Linked DNA regions of Drosophila melanogaster. The protein of the gene in region 2 purifies or fractionates together with the protein of the main gene of each other region. This does not show direct contact. Each region holds a gene or a part of one and is shown on either strand. Other genes may lie near its edges. The genes, in order: CHKov1 and CG11191.

Region 1 (7,812 bases), on a different chromosome or scaffold from region 2:
ACTAATGTATGCAGCCGTAAATATTTGCTGTTTTTAAGATAAGCTATTCAATAAACATTTTAAAAGCAGCTTAATGTTTTAAAAAACTTGTATTTATTTATTTTAATACATTTACAATACTTCACGCGTAGGCTGCACCAAGCTGAGTTAGTTGGATAATGAGGTTTTTTTTGAATATAAGTCGGAGTGTGTTGGAGTCGTATGATGGAATCATTACTTTCCTAATTAAAGTCCAGGGCACCTCGGTTGAGCAGCCAGGGCAGGATAGCCTGCATGTGCTTCCGATAGCGGGGATTGTTGTACATTTTCATCTGGAAGTCCGCTCCCTCGGCGGAATCGCCAACAAAGTTTTCGAAACTGGCGCTCTCCGTTGGATCGACGAGAACGGCTGCCATTACACCTGTGGCCACAGAGTATGCTGAAGAATAATGGACACTAGTATTAAATACATTCTATTATTGTGCTCAGTTATGCATACCAAAAGTTCCGTATTTGTATAGAGACTTATGGATATCTCGCAGGCTTGGCAGTGGCTTGGAATATTTGAGGATTTTCAGGTGCTCCACTAGGTTATCATGGTACACCTTAACGTAGTAATCGAATTTGCTTAGCTTGTCCTCCAGCTTTGTGGATGAAATCAGGAAGTAGTACAAGTCCTGAGCAACAGTGCCGTACTTCGAGACCTGAAAGTCGACCATATACACCTCCTTGATTTTGCCAGACTCATCATACTGAAACATAATGTTATTGGACCAAGAATCACCGTGATTCAGGACGTTGAACTCCGTGGGATCGACTACGCACATCTTAAACAACTCGTCTATCATCACGTCCTTAAGAGCTTTCTAGTGAGATATGATATAAGAAAGTTCGTAAATTACATTTTTATAGCAAACTTCGGGATAAAACTTACGACTTTTTCTATATAGGCCTCGTTACCTTCGTAGGTGCTACAGCATTTGACAAACACCTGTCCCATGCCATTCATCATATCGTTCATCATCGGCCTGTTTTCCTCCTTGAAGAATCCGTTCAGCACGATTTCCGGATACTGACCCTTAGTGGCCACCCTTACGGCGGTTGCAGCATGCCACTGGGCCAACTTCCGGAGAACCCGCTCCGTGTGCGCTTGATCGAGGCCCTCAAGGCGATTGGCGTTCTTAAATCCTTTGATGCACAGATCCTCCAGAGATATGTACTCGGTCTGGGCATTCTTCAGTTCATAGCTCTTGGCTCCAAACGTGACCTCCACACCGGCTGCCTTATAAAGAGCCTCCATCTCAGGAACAACCAGATTGTACATGGTGCGTTCGATTTCGAAGATGTTGTTTTTTTTTTTTTTTTTTTTTAAATTTTTTTATTATTTATTGAATCTTCTCTTTGTGTTAAGAGACTAACAATAAGTGTTCAAATCTTAATCTAACTTAATTAACTTTCACTTAGTGATAGTTTTTTTTTTTTTCATTAATGCCCTAATAAGTTTATTGCTGGGCTGGGAGGTCGTTGCGGTGCAGCCGGCTTTGACTGCATACTCGGATTAGTTTTCTTGCGAGGGGATTTGTATGGGTGGTCAGCTTTTCGTTATACTTCGTTTTTTTCTCAGCTATTACTTCGATTACTAATTTGATTTTTAGGTCTCTGTGTATGTTTTCGTTCCGAAGGTACCACGGCGCTCCAGTGATAATTCTCAGAATTCTTGACTGTGCTCGCTGAATAATGTCTATGTTACTTCTGGATGCGTTGCCCCACAGCTCGGAGCCATAAGTCCAGATAGGTTTTAAGACGGAGTTGTATAGAAGAGCTTTGAACTCCAGACTAAGTGGAGAGCGAGCATTTATGAGCCAGTGGAGGTTCCTTGCTTTAAGTTTAAGATGTTTCGATTTGGCTTCTATATGTTTGCGCCAAGTGAGCCGCCTGTCCAGATGAACACCCAGATATGTTACCTCGTCGGCTTGTGGAATGCATATGTTATTCAAGACCAGTGGTGGGCATGTTTGTTTGTTTAAGGTAAAGGTAACCTGCTTGCATTTTTGAACATTTATTGAAATTCTCCAGTCGGCAAGCCATCGTTCTACAGATGTTAAGTGTCGGGATAGGAGTGCCGTGGCTTTTATTGGGCATTTGGAGCGACTGAGTATCGCGGTATCATCAGCGAACGTGGAGGTTGTTAGATTGTAGTCTATGGGGAAATCCGCCGTATACAGGGTGTATAAGATTGGACCCAGTACACTGCCTTGCGGCACTCCAGCTTCGATTGCGCAATCGCGTGAAGTGCTTGTATCGCATCTTATTGCAAACACTGTGTTATATAGGTATGACTTCAGTAGCTTATGTGTGTTTTGGGGCAACAGCTTGATTATTTTAAACAAAAGTCCATCAAGCCACACTCTGTCAAATGCCTGCGCGACGTCTAGAAAAATGGCTGTGCAGTATTCTCGATGTTCAAAAGCAGTACGAATTTCTGACGTGATTCGGTTTACCTGTTCGATGGTTCCATGTTTTTCTCTAAAGCCAAATTGATGTGTTGGAAGTGTGTTGTTTATTCTAAGATGAGGGCTAATCCGAAGGAGTAGCATTTTTTCAAACAGCTTTGAAAGACATGTTAGTAAGCTTATCGGTCTATATGATGATGGCTGCGTTTTATCTTTTCCTGGCTTTGGAATCATTACTATGGTCGACTTTTTCCATTTTTGAGGGAAGTATCCAAGCTTGGCGATTGCGTTGAACAACAGGCAGATGTGAAGAATAGCACACTTTGGGAGTTCAATGAGCATTCTTGGAGTTATTAGGTCATAGCCAGGCGATTTTCTTGGGTTCAGTTGCTCTTTGATAACCTTTGCTAGTTCACATGGTCGGAATTCAAAGGGTTCTTGAGGATCTAGATTGGCTGCTATTAAAGGAGGGAGAATAAATGTGTTGGTAGAGGGATTTGGTCGGAATACATTTTGTAAATGGTCAGCGAAAGCACAGGCTCTTTCTTCATCACTTCGAAACCAGGTGCCAGAGGGACTTCGTAGTGGCATAATTGGCGCTATTGGAGTCTTTAGGTTTCTGTGAGCTCTCCAAAGAGGGTACTTAGTGCTGGTGGGAGAGAGTTGCTCGATATATGAACGTTGGCTGTTTTTTTCCTCTTGTTTGAGAGCATTGGTAAGCCTGCGTGTGGCTATCTTAAGCATGTGCTTTGTAATTGGTGATCTATTAGACTGCCAATCCCATCGTAGGCGTCGTTTATCTAATACCAGCCGCTCGATTTCGCGATTAGTTTTGATGTAGTTTGGTTTTGCATACGTCACTGGCGGGGTTGAAGCCTTTGCAGCCGAAACTAAAATGTTTTCAAGAGTTTCCGTTGACTTGTCTATATCCTCCTTTGTAGATAATGCCGTCGTTAGTTCTATGTGTGAACAGACATACTTTTGATACCTTGGCCAGTTTGTTCTAAAATTTGTGAGTCTATACGGTGGGTCGACGATGTGATGGCGAGTTAGCATATTTAGAAAAACAGGTGAGTGATCTGATGATAAATCTGCTAGTGCTTCGGCGGTGACCATGTTGCGGGGGACATGTTTAGTAATTGCAAAATCGATCAGGTCTGGGATTTTTCTTGGGTCTGCTGGCCAGTATGTAGGCTTACCCGGGGATACATAGTCTAGCTTGTTTTCTGGCTTCGTAAGCGCATTGTACAATTGCTTACCCTTTGGCGTCACAAGTCGAGATCCCCAATGGGTGTGCTTGGCGTTATAGTCACCCGCTGCGATGAACCTGTCACCTAGTGTGTTAAAGAATTCCATGAATTGATCCTCAGAGATTGGAAAGCGCGGTGGGCAGTAGACTGCGGCTAGAGTCGTTGAACCATTGTTGAGTTGTAAGGCTATGGACGTAGATTGTAAGTAGTTTTTGTCAAAATTGTTTAAGTGGTGGTGTTTTATGCGATTTCTGATGAGTATTCCAGTGCCTCCATGAGCTTTACCATCTGGATGATTTGTACCATAGAACAAGTATCCTGGTATATGAAAATTGTTTTTATTTGTGAGGTGCGTTTCTGATAGTAGCATTACGTCGATGTTTTTTTCGTAAATGAACTGTGTGAGCTCTTGTGTATGCCGTGAAACGCCATTTGCGTTCCACAGAGATATCCGTAGGGAAGCCATTATGGGGATTTTGAAGATACAAGAAGTTGAATCAGGATATTTTGGTTTTTCATGAGCTCTTGCAAAGTATTTTGCATGAACGTCATAAAGTCTTTCATGCTTTGCTGTAGGGATAGCATCATAGCTTCGATGCCACTTTGTTGTGTTTGTTGGATGTTTGTCGGTGTATGTTCGGAATGAGCAGTTCTTGTCGGTGGGGCGGGCACTTCTAGTCCGGATTTTAGGGCGCTAGCGAAAGAAATTGTTGGAGTAGTGCTTGGGACAGTTAGGGGTGGTTGAAAAATCGGTTGCGGAGAGTAGAAATTGACTTTGTTGTATGTATGTGCTGTGGCAATACGTTTGTTTAGGCGGCTCTTCAATTCTTTGTACACCACACAGCCTCTGTAGTTTGCAGTATGTTTTTCCCCGCAGTTACTGCATTTCTTCACAGACTTATCGTCCTTGTTTTTGGGGCAGTTTGCGGTAGTATGAGGTTCGCTACAGACAACACATACGGACTTAAGGGTGCAGTATGCCTTGGTGTGGCCGTATTCTTGGCAATTAGTACATTGAACTGGATTGATACGTTTGTGCGGCTCCTCCACGGTGATCCTCCGATGTAGCAAGTACTGTAAATTGTATATTGGGTGCACTTCGTTTTTCTTTAGTGCCTGGAGCTCTGGTTCGAGTTCTATTTTGAATAGTGGCTGCGGAACTTTGTCTTTGTTTAAAATATTAATAGCTGTCTTTGCAGAAAAGTTTTTGGCCTTCAGAGCCTCAATTATCTCAGCTGGTGTCACTGTTGCTTCAATGCCCTTAAGTACTACCTGTAGCCCTTTGCAACTTTTTAATTGGTATGTGTAGTAGTTTTTACCAGCATCATTTAGGTATTTAGTCACTATACGGTGGTCTGCTTCTGTTTGGATCTGTAGTTTTATTTCATGAATATTTCCTTTTTTAAGTGGGATAATGTGGAATTTGCTGTCACCAATCAAATCAACGAGTTTATTTACAAGTGCATTTGTACTTTGTTCTCGTATGAAAATTGGTGGAGGCCTGGTCTTTTTTGGTTCCCCTACCGTTTTTTCGTTGGGTTGTTCGGTCGCAGAATCAGCCAAGATAGCATATCGGTTTGAATTATTTACTGCAGAGTTTTCATTGCCGTTGTTGGTTCGATTGATTTTGGGTTGATTACCTGCCTTATTGTTTTGAGGGCTGAGCTTTCTCTTGATTTGGATGTAGCGATCCATGCCAGTCTGCACAGTCGAAATCGACTTCTGCTTTTGTTTTGATTCTTCTTTACGTGCATTATTGTTGTTGCAAACGGTCAGTGCTGCTGTATTATTTACAGCTGGCACAGCGATAATTAGTTGGGCCGCTGACGAAGTTGATGTTGTGGTAGCAGTGGCAGTTGCCAGTGAGGTCACTGCACTCGTTATTGCAGTGTTACAGTTACCCGGGACGGTCGTTTGGCGCTGCGAGAGGAGCGGGGTAGGAGAGGCGGTTTCTTCGCTCCACGACTTGTGAGCCGAAGCAGGCAGAGAGCGAGAGCAAGAACGCGGTCTGACGTTCTCTGAGGGCAAAAGTTTCGAGTTAGTTGAAGGTGAGGGTGCTCGATCACCGATTTGCGGTGAGACGAAAGAAAAGTATGCATTGTTGCGTTGTAAAGAGAGCCGGCGCTCGTCTTGTTCACATTGTCGCTGAGAACGTATGTTGTGCTTCATCATTTCCTTGTTGATTTCCCTTTGACGTGGCAACTTGACCATGTATGACAACTCTTTGGTGGTGCCATCTGGAAGGCAGAAATTTGATGTCAACGGTGCTCCCAGCCAGTCCACTCCCCAACTCACCCTGCAGCTCCACTTCGATATTAACTCGCAACATATTAGTGGCGTAGTTGTCACCTGCCGCGGATCCCATTTCCGCTTTGAAATTTCGCACTTTCGAATATCCGTCCACATTCGATTTGAGAACATCTTCGAAACGTTCAGCGGTGACCCAATCGGGTATTTTGCCAGCCGCCATTGTAGATAATCGGGATAAGTATTTTGAAATCGAGCAGAAAACACATATACGTCCAGTGTGACGGTCTTGCGTAGACTGATGAAAGCCGAGTATTAGACTCTACACATCTGTGGAGCTTTTTAATTTCGTAGTGCGCGGCCGATTTCTCTCGATCTTCTCTCAAAAGCTCCGCTAATTGCATTCTAAATATTTTGGCAGCTGAAAGAGCGTCGTTTGCCTTTGTTTATTTCACAACGAGCGATTTCACTGTAATTCTTCAAATTGAGCCTGCATACAAATTGAAAATAATTTTTTGTAAAACTATGCACATTTATTTAAAAAAACCCTCTCGTATTAGCTTATACTAACACCTAGCATTTTGAGATAGTTTGTGAACAACATGTTTGTATGAATGCAATACAATATTATTATTACACTATTCGTTCTCTAGAAACTTGTTTATCATTGCATCCTCCGTCTATCTTATGTAACCCCGGTTAATGAGCCATGGCAATATGACTTTTATCTGATCCACGTAAGCCGGCAACAGGAACATCTTACGCTTAAACGCGATCGCCTCCTCCGAATTACCCATTACGTTGCCTATATGTGAATCAACATCGGGCGGGAGCAGAACAATTGGAAGCATTCGCTGGGCGCATATGAAAGCTACAAACAAGTAGGTGAGGTTTCAAATAGAATTCCTATGAAAGAAGCTTCTAATAACGATCTTACCCCAGAGACTATATCGGTGTAGATGGGCGTGGAACTTGGATAGTGTGGGTGCATTCCGATTGTAATTGAGCATAGTGAGGTGTTCGACTAGCTGCTGGTGATAATACTCTATGAAATAGTCGAATTTGTCCAGTTTGATTGAAAACTTAGGTGAGGTCATCAGTATGCATAGAAGATCTTGGGCGGGTGTGCCTGGAAAGGAGTATTATTATTACAATTAAATATTTTGGAATTTTCCTTCAGTTTACCATATTTTGGGAGCTGGAAGTCAACAAAGCAAACGTCCTCCACTTCTGAGGCGTTTTTATACTTGAACATAAAGTTATTGCACCAAAAATCTCCGTGGTTTAACACAGATAACTCCAGAGGATCGTTCTTACCAAACTCAATATTCAGATCCGTCAGTTGAGATGTATAGTCGCTCTGAATAAAAATGATTACAATTTATCTAAATGGATATAAAATAATCTCACTATGAGAACGAGCTGTCCTGGCTCAAGATTATATTGCTGCATGCACTCCAGGAAGGGCATACAAAAATTAATGTTGAATTCATCGAGTAATTTCTGGTGCTCAGTAGTAAAGTAACTCTCCCGGATGTCCTTCTCGTATTCACCCAGCTCGACTACTCTTTTTGCAGAGGCTGCGTGCCACTGTGCCAACTTCTTGAGGACCGCCTCCACTTCAAACTGCTCCAATCCCTGGGTTCTGTCGGCATTCCTATATCCCTTCTTCCGCAGATCCTCCAAAAGAATGTAGTCGCTTTTTACCGGCTCTCCTGGAAACTTCAGATGAACAGGCTTGAATTTTGGTGATATGGAAGTGTTTTTGGCATATAGATCCTCCAATTCTGGTATCAGATGATCGTACATGTCCAGTTCGGCATCGAACATTTCGTGGAAGTCGTTCTTCTCATCTTCCGGGACTAAAGGAATCTTCAGTATGT
Region 2 (4,266 bases):
CTTATATCAGCCGCACGGAATGTGTGTTTAAAGCTAGCAGTAGATTAAAAACAATTAAAATGCGAATGAAAAACAGTATACGGTGGAGCTGATATATTTACATATATATGTACGTTGTGGTTTGACATAACTTTCCCTAATAAAAACTATACTTGAATTATCGTTATGCAAAAATAATTCTTCTGTAGATATCTATGTTAAAATGTTCATTTCAACTCCTTTGTCCTGTCACCCTAAAGAATCCCAATATTGCTATATGAATCCCTATACTATTGTATATACTTTTATATCCCTTTACTATTATATGTTGCAATTTCGCATATAACTGGAAATATCATTAGTTATTCTCCCCCACAAAATGATTTAGTGTAGCATTTCTCCCATTTTCTCGATTAATTTCGATGGTCGAGGCGTAAGCTTGACTATAATGGAGCCCCGTATCAATTTCAAAAACGTACATCAAAATCGAAAATTATAAAAAGTGCTTTTCATTTGATTCGGCATGCTGTCGCTCAGGTTTCGAGTGCGGCAAGCAGCAAAGTGAAAATGCCTAATGTCTAATGGCCAATGCCAGTGGCAGTGCCAGCGTGGGACAAACTCGCTCCGAATCGCCGGAACCCACCCCAAATCAAGTGGATGAATAGTGGCGGGCAAGTTGCACCACCGACAACGGGACGAACCCACGAAATCGCAGCCGTGGCTCGTGGGAAAGCCAAAGGTCTACGGATTCTCACGAGCGTCCAGCACACGTGCGGGTCGTGCGCCGGAATGGATCGATGGATGGATGGGTGGGCGATGAACTTACTCCCACCCACGGGGCACAGGGCATTCGCATTCGTATTCGCATTCTGAAGTGCATTACTCAAGGTATGGAGCCAAAGGTATGGCGCCGCACACACATACACACTTTATTGTTAATGGATATTCTCGAAAACAACTTTCTATAATGAAAATTGCGGTCTACCGACTCAAATACTCGATTACATATATGTATAATATACTCGTATGTAGGTAATTCTCACAAGACTGGTTTTCGTGCTCTATCGCTGGACGCAAAGTGGAGGTTACAAAGCCGCCGAGTGTCCGTTTCCGGTCTCAGAAGCTCCTAAGGCAAAGATTGCAGTTGTTTCCGCCTACTGCATTGTCGTGTCGGTGCAGCTCCAGGCTGAGGGGCTCCGTGTCGTCCACCCAGGTCTCCAGGGTGCAGGAGCTGGACTGGTGGCTGGACTTTTGCGACTGGGAGAGGGATCTGGTGGCCGCCGCCGCCTGCCGCCACCTGGCTTCGAAGTCATCCCAGCGATCGCAGGCGTCGTCGTCCAGGGAGTTCCCGTTGATGTCCCACTTAACAATGGGGAAGTCGTCGTGCGGTGGCTCCATGATCACCACGCTGTGGTAGTTGCCCTCCAGCTTGGAGCCCAGGCTGATACTGCAGGGATGGTAGCGGCTGGGCGTGGGAATCCTTTGCTGCACTTGTTGTTTCCTAGGAGTTGCCTGCTGCAGCACTTGCTGTTTCCGCGGAGTAGCCTGCTGCTGCTGCTGCTGCTCTGGCTGCTCCTCCTTCTGTTCCTCCAGCTGCAGATCCAGACTGGAATTGGAGGGCGTGTGCCGCAGGTAGCGTACATTCGCCTTGTATTTCACCCGCTCGAACTCGATGGTCGTTAGTGGTGTGTCCAACACCTCGTAGTTGCCGCAGCTCATCATGTATTTGGTGCGCAGGTCATGCTTGGCCGCTGGCTGCAGTTCCTCCACCTCCACCTCCTTGGAGGTGGCCAAGTCCAAGGCCTGGTTGCACTCGCTCAGCTGCAGCTCTTCGTAGATGGCCTCCGTCACCGGACAGTTGCTGTTCACATCCAGCTCCAGATCTCGCTGCAGGTTGAGCTCCTCCTCCACCTCCTCGTCGTCCCCGTCCTCCTCGTCCAGCCGCTGGACAAAGAGCTGCTTTGAAGTCGATATCTTGCGCAGGAACTGCAAGGACAGAAATCGATACGGATAAACATAGCGTTAGCGGCCAACGCGGCGTATGATTAACGTGCCGAAAGCACGGGCATGCGAACTTTACTGAACATTCTCATGCGGCGCGGGTCGCCATCGATTTCCTATAGATGGCCACCCATTTGGGCGCCACGCGAGGACTAACCTTCAGACAGGACTTCTTGGTGCGCCTCAGCAAGTGCGACATGCTGACGATGTCTTTGTGTCGCTGTCGCTTTGTACCTCCCTAATTGAACGCTGCAATTACAGTGGCTATTGTTGCCCTTCCATCGGAGTTGCGTCCGTTAGCCGGGGCATTTGCCTCATCGCCGCTGCAACCCGTTGGGCTATCCAAACAAAACTGAACGAGGAAGCGCCGCGGCGAACACTCGCAGGTGGAGCAAGGACGCCCCATGCGGCGCTCCTGCCCAGTGACTCATCCTCGCGACAGCGGCTCGAGTGCACGCAGAAAAATGAAATGTTTGAAGTGGTAAAAGTTGAAAATTTAACTTTAGAAAACCCTAAACACATTGGAATCATGCTATTTAATTCCATTAAATCATTTAAAGATATTTGTAAGCATTGTTTTAAATAAAGAACCTTTAAATGGTATATAGTTGATCTATCGATTAGCTTAAACTCAGTTTTAAGTCTGAAATATTCTGAAATTCTATTGTGTGGTTTTGCCCAGTGTACTGGGGAGCAGTGCAAGCTGTGCCAGCTGAGAGCCTCTGCCGGCACAGGCGCAGTATGATCCTGGCGCACAGATTGGGAATCTCGAGTGGGTCGTCGCTAATGCGGTAATGGCCCGGCTTAGAGCCCACTCCCCCCCCCCTCGACGGAGTCCCTGACCCGACGGCCCTCGAATAGCCGGTCAAGTGTCTGGGCTGGGGTGCTCCGAAGGGCCAAAAGGTGAGTCCGGCTCCCTGATTATAACGGTTCGTGTGCCGATGCGGGCGCCAACTTGACGCTGCCTTCCGTGGCAGGTATATTATGAAACTATTTGCGGAGAGGGTCGCCGCTAAATTTGCGGGAGGTGTCCACGTAACTATGTAACTATGGGAATTGGTGTGCCATGCGAATTGCGTTATAAATAGTGTGTCAATGCCATGAATGCTGAAGTGGAAGGGACTTTTTCCTGTGAACAGAAAATTTATGGTAGAGAAAATAATATAAAAATAAAATATTGGTTGCATTTCTACCACCGACTAAACAAAACAGCGAACTTTTGATTCGAAAACAACAGCCCTTTAGAAAAATGTTAATTACATTTTCACCTCTAAACATGTCCGTTTTGAAAATAGGATACTTTACAAACCGCCATTTATTATTCCGACAAGATTCTTTTCAGGTTTTCGGGGCCTATTTTTTGGGACATTCTCTGGGTTTAATTTTAATCACCTTATAAAATGCTTATGAGATTTTTTGGGACATTCTCTGGGTTCAATTTTAATCACCTTATAAAATGCTTATAAGATTGATCACCGATTAGTGCTAGATTTCAAGAATAAGAATAAATATTGAAATTTGTCAAAACAACAGGGTTATCGCCTAGTAAAGTATATTCATTTAAGCTACAATATTATTAAATGTTTAACTACGTCGATGAACTTGAGTAAAGAAATCGTTTTAAAGTTCTCTTATAAAAAGGAGTGTTTTGATGTGCTTGCTTATCTACAGACTCATGAAAATGTGTGTAATAAACTTGTGTTGCGCAGACGATTTGAGTTTGGTGACCCCGATTCTTCCTCGCATTTGCTGAAATTTGATACTTTCAGGGAGCGAATACTTAAGTACAATAGTTTTTCGAAATATAAACTATTTACTTATGTTTCTCATTTGACTTTCCCATCGACTAGCGTAGTTGCAATGGATTTAGAAAGCAAATCAATTGGCATGGGAAGGGCTGGGACTGACGACTGAACTAATGACATTCGCATGTAAATTTCCGGCAATTTGGGCGAATGATTTAAACGCATTTAGGTGTTAAAAAAGGCGAAACCAGTTTTACAATTCAACATGGCTCGAGTGCCTGGCATTCCAATTCCCATTCCGATTTAGATTTCGAATTTTTTTGTGAGCACTTTTCGGCCTGTCGTCGATTTGACACATCACTCAAAGTGGGGAGTGCTCGCTGCGGTTCGGGTTAGTTTTGAAATCGCATCGGAGCTGGAAAACTGAATTCGAGTGAATGATGACACTCGCAGCAAATTGCAATCGAATCGCAATGATTCGGATGAAAGCGGCTCGCCTCGATTTTTGAGCATGACAAGATATACGTTTCGCGGCCATCGC

What was found.
Region 1: the proteins of CG11191 (region 2) and CHKov1 purify together in Drosophila melanogaster (affinity purification with mass spectrometry, with the first as the bait; one large-scale study listed by BioGRID). This does not show direct contact.

Annotation. Positions count from the first base shown.
Region 1 is NT_033777.3:25,323,084-25,330,895, forward strand, and holds CHKov1 (CHK domain ov1), read right to left. Parts: upstream 6,234-7,812; 5' UTR 6,153-6,233; coding exon 5,978-6,152; intron 5,920-5,977; coding exon 5,840-5,919; intron 1,328-5,839; coding exon 914-1,327; intron 846-913; coding exon 479-845; intron 419-478; coding exon 222-418; 3' UTR 73-221; downstream 1-72. Other genes in the region: CHKov2 (CHK domain ov2), read right to left, coding at 6,610-6,800, 6,867-7,058, 7,115-7,289, 7,340-7,812.
Region 2 is NT_033778.4:7,999,786-8,004,051, forward strand, and holds CG11191 (uncharacterized protein), read right to left. Parts: upstream 2,336-4,266; 5' UTR 2,180-2,335; coding exon 2,138-2,179; intron 1,966-2,137; coding exon 1,096-1,965; 3' UTR 705-1,095; downstream 1-704.